Linked DNA regions of Drosophila melanogaster. Changing the gene in region 2 together with the main gene of any one other region gives a genetic interaction. Each region holds a gene or a part of one and is shown on either strand. Other genes may lie near its edges.

What was found. A genetic interaction does not mean that the proteins touch.
Region 1: of lok (region 2) and armi, changing one suppresses a phenotype caused by changing the other (phenotypic suppression), as found in Drosophila melanogaster (3 studies listed by BioGRID).
Region 3: of lok (region 2) and spn-D, changing one suppresses a phenotype caused by changing the other (phenotypic suppression), as found in Drosophila melanogaster (2 studies listed by BioGRID).

The regions. Positions count from the first base shown.
Region 1 is NT_037436.4:3,458,352-3,468,658, forward strand, and holds armi (armitage), read left to right. Parts: upstream 1-2,965; 5' UTR 2,966-3,111; intron 3,112-3,189; 5' UTR 3,190-3,223; coding exon of another isoform or gene 3,224-3,319; intron 3,320-3,752; exon of another isoform or gene 3,753-3,769; coding exon of another isoform or gene 3,770-3,952; 5' UTR 3,953-3,989; coding exon 3,990-4,433; intron 4,434-4,510; coding exon 4,511-4,939; intron 4,940-5,005; coding exon 5,006-5,608; intron 5,609-5,665; coding exon 5,666-6,628; intron 6,629-6,697; coding exon 6,698-7,501; intron 7,502-7,557; coding exon 7,558-7,881; 3' UTR 7,882-7,963; downstream 7,964-10,307. Other genes in the region: eIF5B (eukaryotic translation initiation factor 5B), read right to left, coding at 1-489, 597-1,747, 1,821-1,891; CG46463 (uncharacterized protein), read left to right, coding at 3,224-3,319, 3,770-3,952; CycJ (cyclin J), read left to right, coding at 8,188-8,271, 8,335-8,521, 8,599-9,021, 9,075-9,541. UniProt on the Drosophila melanogaster protein: Probable RNA helicase required for axial polarization of the oocyte during early and mid oogenesis. Plays a central role in RNA interference (RNAi) process, a process that mediates mRNA destruction of translational repression.
Region 2 is NT_033779.5:20,059,836-20,067,735, reverse strand, and holds lok (loki), read right to left. Parts: upstream 6,315-7,900; 5' UTR 6,016-6,314; exon of another isoform or gene 5,955-6,015; 5' UTR 5,860-5,954; coding exon 5,673-5,859; intron 5,589-5,672; coding exon 5,431-5,588; intron 5,192-5,430; coding exon 5,083-5,191; intron 5,003-5,082; coding exon 4,565-5,002; coding exon of another isoform or gene 4,551-4,564; exon of another isoform or gene 4,418-4,550; intron 4,359-4,417; coding exon 4,124-4,358; intron 4,065-4,123; coding exon 3,761-4,064; 3' UTR 3,355-3,760; downstream 1-3,354. Other genes in the region: bwa (brain washing), read right to left, coding at 838-975; vls (valois), read left to right, coding at 2,138-2,677, 2,735-3,111, 3,164-3,350; barr (barren), read left to right, coding at 7,013-7,324, 7,384-7,900. UniProt on the Drosophila melanogaster protein: May have a role in germline establishment.
Region 3 is NT_033777.3:27,162,802-27,169,466, reverse strand, and holds spn-D (spindle D), read right to left. Parts: upstream 3,752-6,665; 5' UTR 3,664-3,751; coding exon 3,644-3,663; intron 3,587-3,643; coding exon 3,365-3,586; intron 3,308-3,364; coding exon 3,201-3,307; intron 3,145-3,200; coding exon 2,987-3,144; intron 2,832-2,986; coding exon 2,703-2,831; intron 2,647-2,702; coding exon 2,470-2,646; 3' UTR 2,345-2,469; downstream 1-2,344. Other genes in the region: CG34293 (uncharacterized protein), read left to right, coding at 3,939-4,035, 4,097-4,254; ppk31 (pickpocket 31), read right to left, coding at 4,336-4,499, 4,555-4,661, 4,755-4,961, 5,017-5,465, 5,530-5,746, 5,795-5,908, 6,336-6,343.

The sequences.
Region 1 (10,307 bases), on a different chromosome or scaffold from region 2:
TCTTGGTTTTTCCTGTATCTACATGACCCAGCACGCAAACCACTCCAGCTCTGAGTTCGTCGGTGGAGCGCTTCTTTTCCGCCTCTGCTTGCCGTTTTAGGATTCTGGCTTCCGCACGCAGTCGTCGTGACTCTGGATCATTGGCCAACACCGATACTTCACGGGAATCGTCACTATCCCCATCGGAGTCATCGCTGTCATCTTCATCATCGTCGTCATCTTCATCGTCATCTGTATCTTCGTTCTCTTCCTCGGCAGCCTCGGTCTTGCCATTGTTAGTGGCCTGCGACGTTTCTTCCTCGGGCTCTGGCTCAGCCTCACTATCGGTGGCATCCCAACTCTCCTTGACCCTCTCTTCCTCGGCCTTTTCGGCAGCAGCTGCAGCGGCAGCAGCGGCGGCCGATTGGGCTTCCGCTTCCGCTGCCTTGGCCTCCTCTTCGGCGGCCTCTTCCTTAGGGCCCTTCTTTTTGTTCGGACGGATACGAGTTCCTGAAAGACATGAATCAGTTAGTTGAGATAATAAGCTAATAATGTTACAAGGCAATACAAAACTGAGGTCGTGGCATACAAATTTAGGAAGAAAGCCATTTACATACCTGGCCGCGTGGGTCGCTTGTCGTTCGGATCGGGAATCTCGAGACCCTGAGCCTTTAGAGACTCCAGGAGAGCCTGTGCCCTAGCCCTATCCTCCTTCTGCTTCTTGGTGAGCAGTTTTCCTTCCGCCTTCAAGCGAGCCTTGCGCTCTGCCTCGCGCTGCTTCTTTTTCTCCTTCCTCTCTGCCTCCAGACGCACTGCCTCCAGGCGGGCTTCTTCGCGCTCATCCTCCAGGCGAATTCGCTCTGCCTCCTCCCGCTCCAGGCGCTCCTCCTCCTCCTTTCGCTTTCTTAGCTGCTCCTGCATGGCCGCCACCATGGAGGCAGACATACCCTTCTTCTTGGCGTCCTTCTTCTCCTCCTCAGGCTCGGCCTTTTTGTCTTTCTTGCCCTTCTTCTTGTTTTTGCTGGACTTTTCCTCCTCTTCCTCGGCGGCGGGCTGGACTTCTTCCGTAGCCACAGGCTCGGGTTCTGGCGCAGGTTTCTCCACGGGCTTCGGTTTGGGTTCAGTAGCTGCCTTTTGCTTGGCTAGGGCAGCCTCCCTCTTTTGGCGCTCCTTCTTTTCCTTCTTTTTCTGGGCTGCCGACTTCACAGTGCTGCCGCCCTCCTCGTCATCGCTGGCCTCATCCTCTCCGGCGTTTTCTGCCACTGCAGCCTGCTTGGCCTGCTTCTTGTTCTTTTTTTTCTTGGAGAACTCATCGGCCAATTCTTCGGGGGAAACAACAGTAGTGGCAGCAGGAGCAGCCTCGCCGGCGTATTCCGCTTGAAGCTCAGCTAAAACCTTGTCCAGATCTTCATCGTCGTCGTCCTTCCCCTTGCGTTTGGCCTTTTTGCCCTTCTTTTCGTTCTTCTGTGGCTTGGAGACCACTACCTTTTCCTCCTTCTCAGACTGGCTTTCCTGGGCAGCTGGCTCGTCCTGCTCGTCGTCGTCCATTAGCAGCTCAAAAGCCGACTTCTTAGAAGCTTTGCCCTTGGCGGGCACCACCTCCTCCTCATCGGAGTCGTCATTTTTGCCTGCTTTGCCTTTTCCCTTGACATTAAGCTTCTTGACCCCCTTGGTCACGGCTTTAACATCGTCATCGCCAGCTTGATTGCCCTTCAGGGCATGATTCTGCTTGTTGTTGAGGCTCAACTGGTCGCTGTCCACATCGGAGCTGTAAGATTGAATAATTTGCGATAGAAAGTTTGCCAAGTTGGCAGGTGGGCATGAACTTGCACAAGACTCACATTTCGTCCACCGAGGAACCGCCTTCGACCTTGGTCAGTATCTCTTTCTTGCCCTTTTTAGCTTTAACCATCTTCCCGTTTGCGACTGCAACACGCTCCTCCTCTGGCCGAAAACAAAAAGCCGTGGGTTATTCACCGCTGAAAGATACGCACACGCGACGCCTCGGCAGCCAAGAAAAAGAGGAGGACTGTCCACTGGGTTCTCCTGGTGCTGGTGATCTTCTGATGGTGACTCCGCTTCGGTGGCTCCAGCGACGACGTCCTGCTCCGGAATTGTGCAATCGACGGCTAGATCTGACACGGCGCTTTGCCAATTTTTGGTTTTATTTAGCCGAGGAAATTCTGCACACAAGCACGTTGTCGAGTAGTACGGTGCGGGAGGGTTGGACAGGCAGTGTGACCGTGCGAGTGGATTGCTGAAAATCACAATGGCTGAGCTAAGGTTATCGATTATACCCTGTAATATCCAGTTGAGCGGGGTATTTTTGTTTTGAGTCTATAGTTGTACATAAAGATATATTAAATATATATACACCTTTTTCAATAGAATCGCGGCCTCGGCGCTGGCGTGCGCTGTTTACGGGAACCATTTATCGCCTCTGGTGCTCAGTTTCTTACTCATCAGACATAGGGCAGTTGGTTTTATTGGTTTTCCTAATTGGTAAATTATTTCAACTGCGAAAAGTATTGAACATACTCTTAAATAATATCGATCACTAGGGTATTTATGGAGAAAGAAACCATCTATGGACTTTTTTACACATATACTCGAAAAACTTTCCGGATTGCGGAAAGATATTTGGCATATTTTGGAATTTGATTGCTTATTTCTTAAATGTAAGTGACAGATAACTAACAGGTACTCTTGAAAAAAAGATAAAAGAATAAGAACAAGTTCTTCGTGTGTATTATTTTTGTGAGGAGGTAAATTCCAAAAACAAAAACTTAAATGTGGACTGCCGATATTTTATATACTTTCTTGAGTTCTTTACTTTACATTTTTGTTTCATTTTATTTTTGAGAACTTTTTTTAAATAAGGAAAATATAAATACATAAGCAACTTCCTCACGTTTCATATTCCACCGCTTTAATTTGACACACTTTAAGAAAATACCACAGCCAAGGATATTTTCTACGCCGCTAAGTCCGGTCACACTTAAAAGTTCGCCAAGACGCTTTGTGCTCAAAATTTTGCTCGAGAGTTTTTTCGAATACTATGACTATTTCCCATTGAACTCTTAAAACTCAAAGTGCAGTGCATCTACTAATTCAACAGCGTTAAGAATATTTGTAAGTACGAGTACAAATAGCAAATCCGGCTGTGCATTTGCAAAAAGCCGGTAAGGAACTCACATATTTGGTCCACAGCTTGATAACCAAGGTAAATCCGCGTGATTGGACAATGTCCAGCGAAGCATCCGGAAGTATAACCATCAAAGAAGAAGCATCTACAAGCGGTACGGCCACCAATATTCCCGTTGAATCCAGTGAAACAGAGGTATGAGTTTGTTGTTGTTGCCATCCTTGTTTTGGCGTGGTAGAAGGAGACGAAAGCAGTGCAGGAGTAACTGTTGCTGTCGCTTTTCTTGAGACTTTCGTTTGCTTTTTCTCCATTCAAACTGTTGCTTTTTTGCAGTTATTTTAACAGCCTAGACTAAAAAACAAATCACTATTGAATTCAAGAACCCTAACACAAAGTTTTTAATTTTCCGTTACAAAACATACAGAAAATGTATACAAATGTTAATTTTTTTATTTTATATATGCTCTTATAAATACATTTAAATTTATAAATAAATATTCTCTAAATATTTCAAAAATTGTCCGTAGAAGTAAAACAACAAAATGTTGTTAAATGAAAATTGTAGGATATTTAAGCCTTCGGTGTCATAGAAGGTAACATTGTATGTTCTCAAATGTTTACAATACAGATGGTCCACATTTCCAGGCTAAGAAACCCGAGATCGGAGCTGACAAGGCGGAATCGCAGAGCGAAACCACCGAGGGCGGGAAGGCGGCGGAGACGACGGAGAACCACTTGAAGCGTCTGCAGAATCTGCGCAAGGAATTGAGCTATCTCAGCGAAACCGACTGGATGTACGAGAGTCTCGACAAGAAAGCAGCGCAGTAGGAACGGCAGAGCATTTATCGGCGAAACATTTTCAAAAATGTTCACATACGTTAGCAAGTTTTTCACGAACCCGGATCGTAACCGGGAGGATATTCTGGAAAGTTTGGATCGGGAGAATAGCTTTTTAGACCAAAAACTAATGGAGGAGAAGATGGATCAACAGCTTAAGGCGAATCCAAACGAAATTAATGGGGTTTTAAGTAACAAGATCGCTGAGCTTACGCATGGACTTTCGGAAATGGACGTGAGTAAAGAAAGTTCCTGCACCGCCAGAAAGGGAGTGATCACCAGTCTAGACGGCGATCGGGGAGTCATCGACAAAGACGTTTTATTCGAAACGAAGGTGGCAGAGGATATCATCTTGGATCTACACGTCGGATGTGTAGTGGAATATTTGACTTTTACAACGGGGGAAGCCATGCGGGTGGTCAAGGTGAAGAGTATCCTTGAGCATTCCTGGGAGGACACAAGCCAAAAGGAGGTAAGCTCATCGGTATTAGATTTATTAGCCATTTGTTAAAGCCAATGCTTAATATCTGTAATCCTAACTTCTATTAGATTGAAAAAGCTGTAGACAACCTGAAGAACGAAAAGCCGACATTCTTTAACACCGAAACAAGGAGCGTTTTGGGTCTGATTAGCCAGCGTCTGGCATCTTCCATAGACGTCGAAACGGAATACGGACAGCTGACCGTCGAGCTAGACAATATCGAGATGAACTTCATCCCAACGAATGGAGATCGAGTGCGCCTAGAGTGCAACATTCAGCTGGATGACGGTTTCGTGGACAAACAGGGAGAAATCCTAGAGGTGACAAAGTTGTTTCCCACCCGCATTCAGGAAGGTGAAAAGTGCATTGTGGAGCGCGTGTACGTGCACATGGTTGTGCTGGGTCCGGAAACCTACATTTTAAAGACAGACTTGCCTACAGGCACGGATCTTCATCTGGGCGACATTGTGCTCGCCGATCTCATCGAGTGCCAGTATGTAAGTTAAAGAAGGAACATAAAATCTTGCGATTTTCTTCTTTATACGTGTGTTTTAATTCCCCAGTCCAAATTTACGAGACGCGCCATTAAGATTACTCCGCTGGAGAAAAATTTTGGGGCTACCAAGCTGACTCAGCAGAGCAGTATGGGATCATCCGGCAGTGGAAAAGCAGTGACGGTGACTGGTGTAAATCGTTTCATCACCGCAGAGCTCTGGCAAAAGGAGAGCGTATCTTTAAAGCTGACCAACAATCTAAACCGCACTTTGCGCCTGGAGAGCATCACCGTCTGCAATGACAGTGAGTCTCAGTTGAGCGTGGTCAGCCCTCTCGAATCAAAGGAAATATCCAGCGGCTCCGAAATAACGGTGACCTTTGAGATCCATACGCAGTTCCTGGGGGAAGCAATCGAAAAGTACGTGCTGAATTTCGATCTACTCAAGGTGAGGCGCGTCTTCACGGTGATCGTGTGCAAAACCAAGGAGGAAGTCGCTGAAGCTGAGAAACGTATGATAGCAGCTGAAGCTTTGATGGCACCCGGTCGTAACAGCCAGGAGAGGTCCCGGTTCTATGCCAACCAAGTTTGGTGCAACAAGGTGGATGTAATCCCGGGACAACAAATTGTTACCAAGCGCAGATTTGTTGCTCTGCGTTTGGGTTGCTTTGAAGTAAGGAGTCCTCTCATTAAAAAATATGCTTATTTTTAATACTACCGTTCTTTTAAGGTGCCCAAAGAATTGCGCCAAATTTGTTTGACTAGTGAACGGCGACAAGAGATGATCAAGGCCATCGAGCAGCACTATTCATTCCTCACGGAACCCCTAAGCATTAAAACCTATATGCACCGTTTCAGATTGCTCCTACACCTCGAGGAGATCGAGTGCTTCGTCAACTTTCGCAACTACGACAGAGACCGAGCACACTTTCTGCGTGACGGAGAGTTCCTCACGCTGCAGATCGAGAATCTAGCCGAGCGTCGACCGTCGCTGGTCATTGGCGATACACTGCGAGTCATTAATCCCTGGTCGGATCCCGATTCCCAGACCACCAAGTCATACGAGGGCATTATCCATAAGGTGCTCTTCGATCGCATTTTACTCAAATTCCATTCCAGTTTCCAGGAGAAATATAATGGCGAGGACTATCGACTAGAGTTCTATTTCTCACGCTACAGTTTTCGCAAGCAACACCATGCCATCTCCAAAATTGTAGGAGTAATGGGCGAGGATTTCTTGTTTCCCAGCAAAGTAACCAAGCGCGAGAATCCCCAGCTGGATGTTTATATGAAGGATGACGACATGTACTTGTACGATTCGAAATTAGAGTGGTATAATCAGTCGCTTAATTCCATCCAAAAACGTGCTGTTTTCAATATACTGCGCGGTGAAGCGGAGAACATTCCTTATGTGCTGTTTGGGCCTCCGGGCAGTGGAAAAACAATGACACTTATTGAGACACTACTCCAGTTGGTTAGGAATCTGCCTGGTGCCCGAATCTTGGTGGGAACGCCGTCGAACAGCTCAGCGGATTTGGTGACAAAGAGGCTCATCGATAGCAAAGCTTTGCTCCAGGGAGATTTCATTCGCCTCGTTTCGTACAATCAAGTGGAGAAAGACTTGATTCCTCCGGAAATAATGAGCTACTGCGCCACAAGTGATGTCGGTGCTGTGGGCAGTTGCGAGGACAAAGTGAGTAGAAAAATTTTATCATTTGGATTGGACACCAATTAATCTTGGCTTTGTTGATATTTGCTATAGATGATGGTCACCGAATCGGGATTGAAGCTTCGCTGTCAAGCTAAGTTTATAGGTACTCATCGCATTACCATCTCCACCTGCACTACTTTGGGAAACTTTTTACAATTGGGGTTTCCAGCGGGCCATTTCACTCACGTGCTGTTCGATGAAGCTGGTCAATGCACCGAACCAGAAACAATGGTACCCATTGTAATGCTAACGAAGAAACGCTCTCAAGTTGTTCTCTCAGGTGATCCTCGCCAGCTGCAGTCTATTGTCACCAGTCGAATTGCCTCGAAAATGGGATTTTCCATATCCTTTCTGGAGAGATTGCTGGAACGGTCGCCGTATCGAAAAGATCTTCAGCGATTTCCCGAAAGCTCCGGCTACAATCCACTAGTGCTAACCAAATTGTTGTACAATTACCGAGCATTACCGTCGATTATGAGCATTTATAGCAGGCTATTCTACGATGACGAACTGATCCCAGTTCTTTCCGAAAAGGATTCAAGGGAATCTCGCCTACTAAGTAAACTGCGGTGTGTATTTGAGTCAGAAAAGGATATCCCTCAAGCGCACGGCACGTTCTTTTACGGAATCATTGGCGAAAACAGGCAAAATAACGATTCCCCTTCCTGGTTCAATCCCCAAGAGGTCAGGGAGGTGTTCCTAATGACCATCGCCCTGTACCGTGCCAATGTGACTGCCGATCAGATCGGTATAATCACGCCCTATCAGAAGCAGGTGAAGATGCTTCGGAGTATGTTCATTGGCACCGACGTGGTCATGCCGAAGATTGGATCCGTCGAGGAGTTTCAGGGACAGGTGGGGTCGGAACTAAAATCGATATTACGTGCACACTTAACGTTTGTTATTTCCAGGAACGAGACATTATACTAATATCCACGGTGCGTTCATCAGAAGAGATCCTGCGCATGGATGCCCGCTTCTCCTTGGGATTCGTGCGTTGCAGCAAGCGACTTAACGTGGCCGTTTCCCGAGCACGTGCCATGATGATCATCTTCGGGAATCCCCATCTTCTGGCCGTCGACGAATGCTGGCGCCAGCTAATCCTGTTCTGTGTCAAAAATAACGCCTATTTTGGCTGTGATCTGCCTCAAATGGTGATAAATCAGAAAGATGAGGTCCCCGTTTGCTTGGAAACATTCGTGCCTTCACTGAATACTACAGATGATTTGAACTAAGCACATATGACAGTTTATTATTAAATTAAAACACTTGTTATTGATGAATTAAAGTAACACAATTAATCATTAAACTTGTTTTAAATATTTGTACATATGTGCTAATTTTAGCGAATGGTAACACTCCCAAGCGCAGTCTGGGAACGCTGCTCGTTTGGCTTCGCAGTGTGGTAGCACTGGCCGGAACCGTTGTAGCGCCATGTTTGCGCTCCTTTTGTTTTCTCCTTCATTTGTTTTGCTTTTTTCCGCCGTTAAGTTCTTGCCTTAAAATCGGTGATTTAAGGCATTGCATTCAATTTCGATACAATGGAGCAGAAAGTGGCTGCCGAGCAGAACATCTTCGTCGTCGACCGCAAATTGAAGAAAACTTGCCCGCAAGCAGATGTCGAGGTGAACGGACATGTGCTTAACTTTTGCGAACCCGACTTTATTTCGTTAAATACCAATTTGTAGCGCCTGGCTAAGACGCACTGGCTCACCGACTATGCCCGGGATATATTTTTGACCATGAGGGAGCAAGAACTCAGCCGTCGGCCTTTGTTTTACCTTTCGCCGCAGCTGAACGAGCGCCGAAGAATGCTGCAGTTGCTCAAACTGGCGACCAGCGCCCACAAGCTTAGTCGCTGTGCTTTGCACCTGGGTGAGCACTGTACAGAGGAGCCTCGCTGCAGGCACAAAACCCATGTGCACAACTCATTGTAACTCGTTTCACTCCAGCCGTCTACTATATGGATCGCTTTGTTGATTACTACAAAATCCGTCCGGACAAATTGCTCCTGGTGGCCATCACTTGTCTTCATATAGCTGCGCAGATCGAAAACACGGATGCGTTTATTCCGCGCTACAGCGAAATGAACCGATTGGTCAAGAACGCCTATACGGCATTCGAGTACAAGGCTGTGGAAAGGAAGATCCTGTGCTTCCTGAACTTCGAGCTAATACGTCCCACCACCGCCAGTTTTGTGGAGCTCTTCGCCTGCAGTTTTCTCACTCGCTCCGATTTCAAGAACTACATCGAGATGTTGGATGAGTACGAGCGGAACCATCACACCCAGCCGTACCAGCGATATATAAGCTTCGAAGAGATGCTGTCCATTTTGGCGCAGTTGCTCCTTCGCATGGCGGATTATACATTGTACAGTGAGTATCGAATTCCCATGGAAGGTATTGGATACCACTTAACACTCATTCAGTTTCCAGATTTGCCAACGATCTGCCATCCCTTTTGGCTGCCGCCTGCATTGCTGCAGTTCGCCAGGTCAGCGGGGTCAGGCGCTGGTCGGAGTACCTAGTTGGACTGACCTCCTATACTGAGGCGAATGTCGAGCCGTACATGAACGTTCTGACCGACTATTATTATTACCATGTTATTCAGACCGACTACGGTAGTCCCTCTGTTCAGACCAACCAGAGTTTAGCCAGTCCCGATTCCGGATTCGAGGAGTCCTTCACTGAGAACACAAACCTGGTGGTCTCCGATGAAGTGGTCACAGTAGAGACCTACAACATAATTACCGTGCAGCTGCAGGATCCATCTCCACATTCATCGACTTTCCTTCCCAAAGAGCAAACGAATTTGAAGCGATCGCGCTTTGAAGACGATACCGAAAACCAGCACCCATTGAAACACGCCAAAGTGGAGAGTGTAGCCAAAGATTAGTAAAAGGGAAAAACGAAACTATTACCATTTGGAGGAAATCCAAATAGCTTAGAAGTGAAATGACATCCATAACGTAGATATGGTCTTGTTCAATTGAGTTGAACCTCACCCATATAATAATCGTGATGTTATGCTTTAATATATATGTATTTAATATATATTTGAAATTATCTTATAAACTTATAAATACAATATGTCAAAAACTCAACAAAAATGATGCATTAACTAAAAACAACGAAGACATTATTTATAATTCGCTAAAGAACAATGCCCCTTGTTTAATTTAATCAGACGTTTGCGGGAGCTTTCAAATTAAAAATTCTTATAACTATAAGGGTTTACAATTCAATTTGGAATGCCAAATTAAAGATGTCAGTTAAGGAACAATGAAAGGGTCATTAAGGCTTTCTTATTTTTACATAGGTTGTATGACTTAAGATCGAGTTTTTACAAAAAAGAAACGAGATAGATTTCGGAACTCAAGCAAACTTTGGACAGTTCTCAATACATTTTCAGCTTCACAAATGCAAAAAGATTAAAACTAACTGCTATTAGAAGTTAATTGATTGTCCAAAGAATACTCTTCGTTCCTTAGATTTCGTGTCGTTACAATCGAATCAACTTAAACATGGATGTTACTCTTTACACTTCAATTTGACGTACGTCTCATATATCTAGCCTAGCCCCTAAATGCACAAGGCGGGAATGCATCGAGGAAGTTGAGGGAATCGGTGACGGAAGGAATGAAGAGTGTCAAACTAACTAG
Region 2 (7,900 bases):
TTGCACTTACTTATATTGTTAATTAGAATATCAGAAAAAATGTTGTTTTGATCCACTTTTAGTGCGTTGTTTTCGTAAACAGCGTTTCTATCAATGGTTAGCTTCAGACGATTAACCTTGATAAGGCCTAATGAAAGTGAGCCCGTCACATATTGAGTTACGAGTTACGATTGTAAGAACGTTTATATTAATGCGGATGCCATTCATTACCACCAGCACAGCTATTTGTTTAGGCTGTTTTACTATAATGACAAATGCAAACGGCTGACTAACTAAATGAAATCGCGAGCGTATAATCTACATATTTCAAATCTAATAACATCGGACAGCCGGGTTCAAAGTAGTTATATAAATCATATTATATATGAAAGAGATGATAACAACCAAATGAGAGAAGCTAGCCCTTGCAGGACTTAGTTTGAAGTCCGTGTAGCGGCCAAGTCTGAAGAGACACAAGTTTCCAGTCCGAGGACAAAGTGTTCATTATGCTTTGCCCTGTCCGCAATACCAAGTTTTATATCGATCGGACAGGTGTGAAGCTCAGGGCGATAAGAAAACTGAATTTTCCGGGTGTCGCATTTTCCGGGTGCGAAAATGACCCCCACCCCCAGCCCATCGTCACACCAACGCAAACAAAGCGTGGCAAACAGCATCTTTTGTTTACGTTGCCAGTCGGTCTCGCTCTAAAAAGGTCAAGGCCTATTCAAAGGGAAAACTAGCAGCTGTCTGCGAAGGGGTGAGAAGAGCAACTACGACCACTGCGGGGACAACTAAGTGGGGCAGCGAAAGCAGAGCGCACAAATTACATACAACGTTAAATAAATCGCACATACGCACCGTGTTCACGAACTCGGCGATGTTGGACGAAATCAAGTAGTTGCCTTCGCACCAGTCGACGGGCGAGCTTCCGGGTCTTAGGTGCTCCCAGGCCATGGCGTAGATGTCCAGCAGCCCGCCGCCCCCCATCCCGCCCATTCTCCGCCCACTCGATGGAGGCCCGACCGCAGAGATCACAGCTGATTGGGGAGGCGGTTCCGCTCGTTCTGCCCAGGCACTTTGTGTGTGTGTGTGTTGCTCTGTCGCCCTTCCTTGCAATCTTAGACCAGCTGCAGTGGCGCAATTTGCATAATAGCCCAGTGTGCAAGCACTTGCGTGTCTTTGTTGATTGCCTTCCGTCGCGTGGCTTACTGCAGAGTCGAAGTATTCCGCAGTTATGTAAGGAAATATTTAGTTCTTGATGGCTCAGGCGATGGAATCTACGACGTTTGGGACGCTGACCACTCGCGCTAGGAACGCACTTTTCAAAAAATAAACCAGCGCGCAACGAGCGACGCGATAATAATAAACAAAAATAACAACTGTGTGACCGCTTGCAAGCGAACGGTAAATGTCCATAGTGGCGGGAAATCCCCTAAAAAATACCGTTGCTCACAACTATACCGTTAAGCAATGTGAAATGTAAACGTAATGTAGAAACTTTGCAGTTGTAAAGTGCGCCATTCTCTTTTTTTAATTACCGCCTGGCGATTTCGGAACTCCTGTATCGGAAGTCTTATTGTTATATAAATAAATATATTCTTTATGGCATTTTAAAGTGTTGTTCTTGAAAATTATCCTTCACAATTTTATCAAAAATGAGTAAGGAATTCTGAACGTGTTCTGAACCTTTAACCAATCCTTTGACCAATCTATAAATGACTAACTATCATAATTTTGGATGTCCTCCTAGTGATGATGCGCACCAAGATTGCTCAATTTGAAAATGAAAGCTGTAAATAGAAATGCTAAAAAAAACTTGCAAAACGTATTTTCAAAGTCTTTCTATTAATCGACACTTTCATCTCAACTCGTGAAGAAGTGCAATTAAAAATTATTAAAATAGGTCAGTATACATTTTTCCGAGTTCATAATACTGATATTAATCGGAATAAACGAACTCATTTTGAATAAACCAATCAAAAAAAAAAAAAAAAAAAACTCCAGAGTATCCAGCTCGCGCGATTATCTCTAATATTAATGTCTAATAATATCGATATTTCGATTGGTACACAAATCGATGTATTTGGTCTTGCCGGGCTCGTTGCTCTTCCTTGCTGGCCGATTCTCTGTTGTTTTACGGAATCTTGAGTGAGAGACGATGTTCCCGCAACGCAGCTCGGAGCTGTACCGCACTCCGGTGACCCACCAGCCTCCGCCGGCACTGGAGCTGGCCGGGAATCTGGAGTACCCGAACCTCAACATTGCGGACCTAAACGCGCGATTGGAAAACCTTTCGCCGCGACTGCACGACTGCTGGGACAGCATCGCTATCAATGATCACAACCACCTGGCCCTGGCCACAAACCGACGCGAAGGACGCCAATGGTGGGGCATGTTGTTCGGCTACGGACGCGACCAGATGCACCATATGAGCGTGGACTCGGCGAACTTCAAGCTGCAGGCGGAGCACACGGTGAACATTGTGCGCTACGCTGAGGATGATTTCCTACTGGTGGCCCTTGGGGATACCCGACTCCAGGCCTGGTCCACATACTCCAAGGTGCGAGATTCTCAGTCGCCATACTGCCTCTTCCTCGTGGGCGAGTCCAGTGCGCATCCCACACCCATCAGCCAACTGAGCGTCTTCAAGGCGGATCCCCGCACTGCCGTTTCGGGCTCAGCGGACAGTACCCTCAATGTATGTATAAAGGTGATGTGGATGTATGGAAAATATACAAATGTTACCCTTTTGCAGGTCTGGGATCTCTCGGGCGCCGATATGGTGAGCACCTACAGATCGCGCTCCTCGCATACCGACAAGTTGACTGGCCTGGCCACACCCGCAGCTTCAGTCGATAAATTTGTGACCTGTGATCGTGGCGGCTGTGCCCGCCTTTGGGATGTCCGGGCAGCGGCTCCATCTTCCACGTGCCTCTATGCGGATGCCAGCCACGTGCTGAGCTTCACCAGTGCCGCCTGGGCAGCTGCCTCGGAGCTGCAGGGTGACAATCACATCTATCTCGGGGACTATGACGGCAAAGTTCATACTCTGGACATTCGAGTGCCACGAAAACTGGCGGAAACCAGGGAATACTTCGACAAGGGCCATGTCGCCCAGTTATTAATCAATGGGTACAAGTTTAAGCGAAACAATGACGATTTGCATTAACGCACATATTTTCAGGCCCCATCTGGCTGCGATGAGCAATTTGCCCGCCTCCGTGAAAGTGGCCAATGTGCAGGCGGGCCATGAGTTCATCTACACGCACCAGGACACCCATTCTCGCCTAACTGATGCCGTTTGGACCGATGATAGCACCCTCATCACCATTGGACATGGCCGCAAAATGGTGACGCACGCTATCAAATAATTTTGCTGCCGAACAAATTCAATTGCTTTATTTCAAAAAGCGGAATGGTTTGCTGAAGAGTCATTCTTACATTTAACACTTATAGTTACTGAACAGTTACAAGTAATAAATCGTAATAATAGTCCAATGAAATGGCAGAATTCAAATCGATAGGAATCTTAAAAAAATTGTGAAGCAGCAGCCCAGTTTAAATGCAGTTTAACAGGATAAACCGGGCTTGGGCGATGAAACTTACACTAGACAACACGTAAAAATTAACAACCGCAAAAAATACTTAAATTCGCCAATACACTCGGATGCGGCGGTGTCGGCGTTTTGGGAAAAATGTTGTCGCTTAATTTTTCCAGAAAATTAAAACCTTTTCGCGCCTCGACCCTCACGTATTAACGATGGAAACACAGAAACGAAACCTAGCGTCGCGATCGCTTGGTGGGTGGCTCAAGGAAGTTCTCCTCCTCGATTTCCATGCCATCGAGCTTCATCAGCCTCTTCGCCTTCTGCAGCATGGGCGCATCGCGCAGCCAGCTGCTCTGCAAAACGTCGTCGATTGAGGGTCGCCTCTCGGGATCCACAATGAGCATTTGGTTGATCAGCAGCTTGGCGCGCTGCGAGACACTCTTCCAAGAAGGGTGTCCATACGCGAATCTGCCCTTCTTTATTTGCTGGGCCGCCGGGGTGCCGTACTCGTCCGAAAAGGGCAGAGTGCCACTCAGGCTGCAAGATATGAGTATATTGCTAAGTTATCTTCGTAGGAGAATAACATAATGACTTACCAAGTAAATAGCACCACTCCCAAGCTCCAAATGTCCACTTTCTTGGTGTAGGCTTCTCGGCCGCCGGTAATCAGCACCTCAGGGGCCACGTAGAGAGGTGTGCCACAGAGCGTGCGCATAACCGAGTCCTTCTGCACAAACTTACTCAGCCCGAAATCGGAGACCTTCAGTAGGGTCTCCTCGTCATTGGTCTCCAGCAAAACATTGTCAGGCTTAAGGTCACGATGGGTGATGCCTGAAAGGTAGAAACTAGTTAGTTGAATAATTCGATTGATGTGTTCGCAGTAGTCGTACTAGCAAATTCGTAAAGGCGCAGGAATGATTTGCAATTAAGGGCGTTTTCAATGACCATTCCGAAGACTTACTTATTTGCATAACAGAAATGAACGGCTTGCTTAATCAGCAACACATTCGAACCCAAATAAAACTAATTTGTTTTACCCCGATCGTGTAGGTACTTGACGGCATGGCACATTTGGTAAAAGTAAAGCTTCGAGATGTCCTCGCTAAGTAGTTTGTTGCTGATGATCCGGTTAAGCAGGTCGCCGCCGCGCATAAACTCCAGCACCATATACACAGAATCCGGCTTGTCCACGATGTCGTGCATGCGAACCACGCACGGATGTGAAAGATTCTTCATAATCTTGGCTTCGTTCAGCACCCGGTCGGGATCACTGAAATTGGTACTGGGTCGCGCCCCAGAGAGCATATTCTTCTTAACGATTTTCATCGCAAACTGCTGGCAGGTGCGGGTGTCATAGACCAAACGCACCAGTCCGTACGCTCCAGATCCCAGCTTGCGATTTACATAATACGTCTTGTTAATCTCCTCGGGAAGCCCGATCGACTCATTCGGGCTGAGATCCTTGAATACAAAGGCTACAAGGGAGGGCAGGTGCAAAACATCAAATTACTTGCGAGTCCTTGTCGATAGCTATACCTGCTTGTCGATCGCTTACCTTTGTACGTTGGGTGGGACAGGGAAATTACGTCGTCATTCTTTAGGATTCGCATCCTGTTTGTGCCAATTTTCTCGTTATTCACAAACGTCCCGTTGCGTGAGAGATCCTGCGAAATGGGCGGAAACAAGGTTACTACATTTTAATAATATACGGAATTATACGGAATAGTAACTTCTTTTTGTAAATTAATTGTGGGAAATATTCAATATTGAAGTTACCTTTTTTGATAATCTCAACAAAACATAAATAAAACTTAATTTGAATTCTGCTCTTGTGGGTTCTGAATTTGCTATCTTTTTTTTCAAGGCTTCCTTCAGAGCTTTTGGGTTTGGAACTTCCACCTACCTGAATATAAACTGGATTGGTAAGTTCGCAGTTTGCCCGCTTTATGATAAAATGCACTTTGGAAATGCGCGTCAGGATTTTCTCGGGCAAATCGTTGAGCGTGAGGATCAAGTCGTTGGCCTCCCCTCGTCCTGCGGTGAACTCGTCGTTGTTGAGATCTGCAAACAGTTCAGCATGGGATCGTCATTAATACATGAGGAGCACACGCAATGGGGACACAAAACAGGAGGAAATGTGGTTACCAACAGAAAAGGACGAATGCGTATAAATGATTCGGTATTTTGAACTCGTACCCAGCGATTTGATCTTAATGTTCTTGCCGTACAATCGACCCCAGACTATCTTCTCCATCGGCTGGCTCTCCACCTGCGTCCAGATATTGGAGGCCTGACTCTGGGTTCCCTGCGTTCCTTGTGTGTCGCGTGCCATAGTGATTCCAAAACTCCGAAACTCCGTAGCCCCGTAATCTCGTATTCCTGCTATTCCGCAAGTCGAACTGGAAAACCCGTTAGGTTTGCCTGGAACTGCGTAAATTCGAAATGTCCAGTTACTCCAGCACTACCACAGGCAGAAATGCACACATACACGAGGAGTCCGATCTTCGGAAAAGCTATAGATCTATAGAAGCTATGGGTTTGAATCTCTGAGCGTTTCTTCTGCCCAATTCGATTACATCGAGCTTTTCGCACAGCGCTGGCTGATAGTTATTTAGAGTTTATCAGACGAAAACAACGAAAACTAACAAAAATCACGACATTGGTTCGATGTGAACTGCGCGAGGGACTACAATTTCTGCGGCAGTGTGTGTAAAAGTTGCCGCCTTCCAGGGATGGGGTGATTATCAGCGCCAGTGTTGGCAAGAGTCCCAAGGAAAAATTAAGGGTTTTTACAAATTAAATATTGCTTAGGTTAAGACTTTATTGTCAAAAGAAAAAATACTAATTAACTACCGGACTGAAAATTATATAAAAAACTAAAAGTATTGAAACAGATTAATTCCTTTACAGATCGTAGTTTCTTTAATATGGTACATGTATTTGAAATTTAACGGCCATCCATTGTTGAAATCCATTCAGCACTGGCAGGACCTGTGCAGCCCTGAACTTAAAGAAATTCCATTGTAAGCTATCGTGTTTTTATTCGATTTCGAAGCTTTAAGGTGTAAATTAAGTTTGTTTATTTCATTTTTCTCATATGATAAAATTATGTATCATGTTTATACTAGTTAATTATATTCCGCAATACTTTATAGCTAATTCTTTAGCGATTTTCCTGTCCATATTATCTAGCTAGCTTGGCACACCTTTAGTTTTAACCAACACTGAAATGCAGCCCTAAATTGCGGCGTCGTTTGAAAGAAACTGTAAACTATTACCAATACCAGCGCAAAAACAGAAATAGACAAAATACAATCAACAAATCATCAAAAAACAAAAAATTCAAAACTGTCGAATTGGGATCACAGCTATTATTAAAAGTGAGTGTGCTTATTAACACTCTCCAAAACCATCAGCCTACGGCAACCAAAATTCCTTGTGCTGTTCTCTGACTTCATCTCTGATTTATCCACTTCCTTGAAAGGATGACTCTGCCCCGCTTAGAAACTCCGCTCAGGCGGTCCGCAGTAGGCAGTTACCAGGAGGGGGTGTCCCGCATGCTAACCCCCTTTAACGACGACGAGGCGGAAAGGCGGGAAGCCCGACGTCGCACGCTCCTTCAGCAGCATCACCGGTCGAGCACTCTGGAGTCCATCGAGGACAATGAGACCATCAAAAATTGCTTGGAGCTCTACAATGGCAACAAGGTGAGCAAGGACAACGCCTGGAACCTGATGCTCATCGATTCGTTGGCCAATTTGCTGGATCACCATCACAAGCGCATGAGCAACTTCAAGGTGGGTTTTGCCTCATTCAGTTTATGTAAATGTAATAATTTCATGATGTTATACCCTAGATGGCTGGTTCCTCTTTAGAAGCCTCTTCCAAGGTTTACGGCCTGCGTGTGGACTCCATCTACTTGGACGCCATGCGCATTTCAGCTGGCTTGAGTGCACGAACTCTTACGGATAAGCAAATAAATGCTGCCGAGGATGATGATGGCCCCCAAGGTGAACAGGCTACTGGCGAGGGTCAGGACTCAGCGCAACAGGCAGCAAAAGAAGCAGCACCGAAGCCCAAACGGCAAAAGAAACCCATATCCACCGTGACCAAAAACAGAGAAACGCTGAACAGCCGGCTGGATACGGCTCCCTTGCAGGATCCTGTGTTTGGCAAGCTGAACTCCACTGTGGGCTCTATAAATGCTTCCAATCGTCTGATGCACAACATTCTTCCTAGTTTCGACTCTGAATTGCGCTTGCGTACCACCTACAATTTTTGGAACAGCGAAGAGTCCACCGAGGAGGTCCAGGACCACACTACACTCAATGCAGAAATGGAACAATGGCCAGCCACATCACTTATGAGCACCA
Region 3 (6,665 bases), on a different chromosome or scaffold from region 2:
GCTTTTTGAAACCAATAGGTATTTTACCGATCTGCTTATTATCTTAACTTCAGGGACCTTTACCAAAAAATCACAATTAAAGTGACTAATTCGATTTGAATGTCAAAACATTAGGATCTAATCCCACTGGCCATTTAACCCCTCTTAGTCGCTCATTAATTGATTTACCAAGCCCCCTGAAGCCCCCAAAGGAAAGAAAGAGGAGCCAGAAAACCAGTGAAAAATCACCCAACTGCGGCAGAACCGCGCTTTATAAATGTCAGAGGCGACATTAATGTAGCGCATTTGTCTAATTAGACAAGCGTTTTGGGCATGATGCTGCGAAGCTCTCGCTCCACGCCAAATAAATTAATCAGCTAATTGATGGGCATAAATTACGGGCATGCAAATGAGACGAGAGCAGCCGCAAGTTCTCCTGGCCCAAATTGATGGCCAGGCCAAATTAAATTGGGCAAATGAGCGGAGCCGGGCCATTTAGTAGTGTCAATGGCCGTTGCTGAAGGGCCACCCACTGGGCAGCAGATTAGGCATCGAGACGTAGTGAAGTGCTTTCCAAATCGAAGCTTGCCAGGTGCAACATACAACTCAATTAATAACAATTTCTCAGAACAATAAGCCAGTCGGCGGCAGCAGTCGCGGGGAGCGCAATCCTTTTTGGCCAACATTTGATTATCTCACGGCCAGAGTGGAGCAGAGTGGCTCCTCCTGGAGCCGCAGCTTGTGGCTCTTGCTATCGGGCGCTGCCATCGGGGCGGCGCGGTGTTGCGGAATTAGCCACTCTGGGCCTGAACTTTGGCGTTGCACGAGGTCGTGGCCAAATTGCCAGGCCATGCTCGGTAACTTGGAATGTTTGTTGGCTTTTTGCTTTTTGTTTTAATTGAAAGCCGTACGAAATGGAAAATGGGAAATGGACTTTCAACTTGCCAGCTTTGTAAATTACACACACGAAAAGAAAAATGTTTTAAACTAATGTATTAAATAATATATTATGCATAACGATTTGCCAGAAACGAATATAACAAATACAATGATAGAAAAACCAAGCTTAACATTGCCTTTTAATGATTCCAAAATGAAATCTATGCCAAATCTTTTTTTTGTGATCCCAAAATCTTTTTCCAATCACATCGGAAACTTTTTTCGGTGCCACCGACTCAGTCAGACTATTTCTAGTCTGCCCAAGTGCATTACAGGGCAGTTGGAAATTTATGGCGGGCCAGGCGGTGTCGAAAATAGCGCCAGCAACTCCGCGATGACGACGAAGACGATGCGAGCCCGATGTTGATAGCTATAGCTTTCCGTCGGCTGAAGTTACTTTCTAATGCTGCAGTCACAGAGCGGCGATGTGGATGTGGATGAGGATGCATTGCACACGAAAGTCATAAGCGCAACCGAGGCAATTAAGTTCGAGCGACAAGTTGCGCCGCTGGAAGCCAGGAAACTCGGCTAGGATCGGGTGGGATCGTTGGAAACTGGGAGGGGAGCTCGGCTCTGCAGCTGTTACATGTTTATGGCTCGAAACGGATCGCACGTAATGGGATTTGCGCTGAGCGACAGCGATAGCCTGTGACTGCACCAGCGAACTCCGCCAGGCAGTGAGCACCAGTCCCAGTCACTTCCACCGATTTCGATCCAGCGACTAAGCCATATGGGTAGAGCTATAGCCACAAGTGCTGCTTCGACTCCAGCGCCTCAATAAAGCCGATCGCATTACCAATTAGGCGTGCACACTCGGCTAAACAGCCGCCTCCTTCTGGCAAGTGGAAATTGAATTAGTTGTCGCTGCATATGCGTGACTAGCTGCTGCCCGGAGCTCCATGTTCGCTTACGGAGTGCACTGGAAAAAAATAATGTATGCAAGTATTTGGATTTACTTTTCCAAAAGTGGCGCATTGCATTGTACACAGCAAAAGTTAAACATATACATTATAAATGACATGAAATATAACCAAATGAATCATTTGAATATTCATCTATACAATGAAACTTTACTTTTTTCCCGTGTATAATCAAAGGCCGCGGGCTAGAGATCGGCAGTCTGGTTTGGGTGTCGCCGTTCGTATGTGTAAACACTTTTTACACTTTGCCACATTCCTGCGCCGCGCGCATAAATCAGGCGTTGCTCGCCTGTCAATCTGGAGCTGCGCCATCGATAGGCATCGGGCTCCTCGTGGAGTGGAGGTGACCGGTAGAGCTTTTAGCAAGTGCTCAGCACCTGGCTGGGTGTGCGCTAGTTGCGAATCCGTTTTCTGTGCCACACCGCATCATGGCAAGTGGTTGAGGATGCCGTTTGCCAATGCTGCTGTTGCTCCTCTTTCCTGTGCTAATGCTTCGATTCTAATCTCTTGCTAAACATATTTTTATTTTATAGAAAAATTATCATCTGATAATTGCATATTTAATCCTAATACGCATGTACCTATTTTTAACTAATGCTTAAACTCGACACAAAGTAAAAGTGATGTAGCCTCATTCGGATTCCTTAATTAATCTACTCGTTCGCCACGACTTGCCCAGGTGAAGCTCAGAGCTGCCCGAAAACCAGATGCGCTCGTTGATCAAGTGCGAATGCAGATCCCCCAAGGCGGGCTCCACTTGGAACTTTTGCTTGACGTAGCGATGCGTGAGCACATTGGTGAAGACCCACTGCCGGTGGACGGGATTATAAAAGGAAAGGAAATTGATCGATTGTGAGGACTTACGGTCAATTCGTGTTGACGTTGCAATCTCCGCATGCTTTCATGCAGTTCCAGAAGCATCTCGTAACGATGGGCGCCATCCTCAAGCATTCGCAGAGTAAAAGCCAGGGAGTCGATTACAATCAGCTTAATCTAAGGAGACAGTTGCGTTTTTAAAGTTACAGAAATGTCTTTCAATTGGTTTGGCAAAAGTATGGATTTTTGTGGTAACACCACAAAGGACAAAGTACAATGAGAACATTTTATATTAGCGAAGAAAGGGATATTATAAATACATGTAATATTACATCGGGATGATCGACGAGATGCCTGTGGCAACTGAGCACAGTGGCCATTAATTGATCCAGTTTCGGGCACCTCACATAGTGGATTTTCTGCAGCATTTTGTGAGCCTTAAATTCTGGAACTCTATGTGCATACTGCCTTTCCAGTTTCAGAGCTAGGCCTAGAAATAAACTTTGTTTAGTTATACCACAGAAATAGTTTATTCCATCTACTAACCCATTAATCTGTCAGGATGGAAATCCTGCCTGGTGTCTATAAATAATGCACTGCCCTCCAATCCACCAGCTGCCTTGGGAATTTGTACATTTAGGCAAAGTTGCAAGCTATCATATACCATTTGTAAATTATAGTTAATAACGAAATAATAGTTAATAAAGTACCACATTTGCGTCTTTCCGGTGCCCGAATTGCCGATCAGTTCAACCAGGTGACCCAAGGATATTCCACCTCCAAAGTGAGTGTCCAGGGCTTTCTTGCCCGTCAGGATCTTATTTGAGGCACTTTGGGAAATGTCCCAGCAGGATTTATCAAATATTCGAAAGTTTTCATGGGACACAGATGGTCTTCTTTCAATTGCTTCTGGTTGCGATGGCTCCCAAACCCTTGAAAGACACAAAGTTTATAGGGATTCTAAAAGTGTTGTATTTGATGGAACCTACCGAACAAATCTATGATTCATTGTAAACTCCTGACTGCTTAATCCTTTTTAAAACTCTTAAAAAACAAAAGATGGGATCGCAAATAATCAAAACAATCGCGCCATATGATTTTACAGTACTGTTAAGACTTAACATTGCAGTGTTGTGTTAGTTAACTTTTAAGAGCTGGCTGCTACAGAAATACGACTTCAAGCAATTGAATTTTCATAATGTCTGGCTACACCAAATGTCATATGGTTTTTGTTTACAACTTAATTTCCTGCGACGCGATTTTATTGGACTTTAGTCATTGAAAATGTTAAATTTAAAACACTTTGCCAGCCACGCCTACCGCCAGTACGAACTGGTGACGTGCGTGAACATGCTGGAGCCCTGGGAAAAGAAGCTGATCAGTGAGTATCGATATTGGGAGACAAAGCCAACTGCTAATCCGGATTATCTGCCCTCAATCAGATGGATTCTTTCTGGTGATGCTGCTCCTGGTGCTCTTCTCCAGCTTCATGTATCTTCCCAACTACATGCAAACCCTAATGCAATTTGTAACGCCGCCCAACTGGCACAATTCCCCGGATAGCGCAGCCTATGTGGCACAAAAGATCGCACGGAGCTGAGCTCCTACTACCAACTTCGTACAAGTGCATACTCCCTATAGAAAGACAACTATGATTTAAAGCTTATAATATTATTGTGATTTACGTCGACTGGTCCAAGATCTGTAAATATTGAACTGTGCCAAGAAAAAACCGCTTAACCCACTTCACAATCGTTTTTCTGTACCGCAGACAGATAACAATGGTCTCCACTATTCGCAAGGCGGATGTGTTGAAGAACAGGCCAACCAGTCCTCCAAGGGAAACTGAAAAGGCGGAATTGAATTCGAAACTATTATATATATGGATAGCGTAGCTTACTCAAGAAGTCCAGTATAGTCTTGGTTACGCGACGAACGTATCGTTGTGTTGGCAGTTCAACCAAGGCCACGCGGATTTCGGACACTTCATCTGAGGCTTCATCATCCCTTAAAGTTAAAAGATACATTTTTAAGTAGCCCATTTACTTATTTCAACTCTCAATGTTAAATTGTGCAAATGAAACATCCTAATGTGCTTACTCATCAGCCGAGTTGTATATTATGTTGTACTCCGGCTCCTCGCAGGAGCTCATGCACTCGCAGGACTTGCGCTCCGTCATGATCTTGTCGCGGATCCGGGTCAGGCAGATCAGGCCCCGAACGTCACAAACGGGCAGATAATTCTGGCCGGGAATGGCCATAAAGTGACTGGTGCAGTTGCAGTTGTCCAGTTGAAGTAGCACAGTACTAAGGATTATACATAAATCTATGAATTAATTATATTAACTTTATTAAGTATTACCACTCCACCACGCAGCCGGAGTAGCTGTAGAAGTCGTAGATTCCCTGTCGCTCCGGCACATGCTCATGGCCATAGCGACATCGCCGCTGCTCCATGCTTAGGTCCTGAACACTCTCGTCGTTGTGCACCTCGATCACGTTCAAGATCAGCTCCTTGTAGTGGCCCAGCAGCACCGTTTCCCGTATCATGCCCTCGGAGAACTGGTAGGGCACATCGATTGGTGCATGAACGTACAGCTGAATGTCGGCGGCGGCATGAAAGCTTAGATGTCCCGGTCCCGTCATCCGGTTGTTGGTAAACTGGAGATGGGAAACTTTGCGTGCCTGATGCGAGTTGAAGGAGAAGCACAGCCCATACTCCGTGGGCAGGGGCAGAAACTGATCGCAGCAGTCGAACAGCTTGTTTAGATACGTACAATTCACCAGCAACTGATGGCACTTGGTGCGAAACTGCAAGGATTCGAGGATATAGATAGGAGCAAGTACTCTGAGCAAGCTGGGCAACGCAACGCACCACGTCCACAAGGTGGGTGAAGTTGGACGGACATCGCATCCTGGAGCAATCCTCGCAGCTACTGCAGACGCCTCGATAGAAAACAATTTCCGAAATGAAATCATCTACGTGCATATCGTGCTCCACGCCGAAATTTGAATCACTCAAATCCCAAATCCTCTCGGCGTTATAAATCTCGCACACGGTAATGGCCGGAAAAGTAGAGTTCCAATTCAAGCTAGAAAATTTGAGTTAGCTTAGATACTTTTGAACTATTTGAACTTACTATATAGTATCGAGATTAAATGAAACCGATGAGGAGAGGTAGCTATTGAGCAGCGACAGGGAGACATTCGCAAAGAAGGGCAGCGTGTGGTAAAAGGTCACCAAGTAGAGAATCCTGCAATAGAAACAAGATTTGTATTCGAACTATATGGATTACATATAGTAGATTACATCTTTAGCAAAAATGCGTGGAAGCGGCTACTGCGCATTGTTAACTATTCGGCGGAGAAAAGGAAACTGTTTGCCCAAATTTTCTTTTCGGCTGCGAGCTTTTGGTAACAATGGGCCGCATGATATCCATCTATCCATTGTTTCCGCTTTGGCCTACATTAAAATAACTACCCAGTTTTATTGGCTTGGATTTAGTTCAATGTTGGAGTCCACATAAAACAGACGCGTCTGGCGATTATTTAAATGGAAATCCTTAAAAGCATAAGTCATATTGGACTTTAAAGGTCGTTGGTCAGTATTAATCACTATTAACTTGTCATATATCATATAATATATCCAAACGTATTCCCAAACAAGATCTTAGGTCTTACATGGACATTAACTGCAGCGGCTAACCGCAAATTATAGCATACCAATCACATGACCATTATTGATGACTCAGTTTTCGATCAAAAGTCAAAGCTGTTAGCTATATGATATAGAATTTCTAAGAAATCACGTTTTTATAGAATGATCACTCTTCGAAAGATTTATGATTGTTATTTTTGCATTGGTACTATAATGCCCCACCGAGTTAAAGAATTGCATTTTAAATATTGCTGCTAATAGTATTTATTAAAATAATTTACAAATCTAGATAATCCTGCGGCAAGAATTCTTAAGACTAGAATATAAAGAATATAAATAAGTTGGTGTCTTGA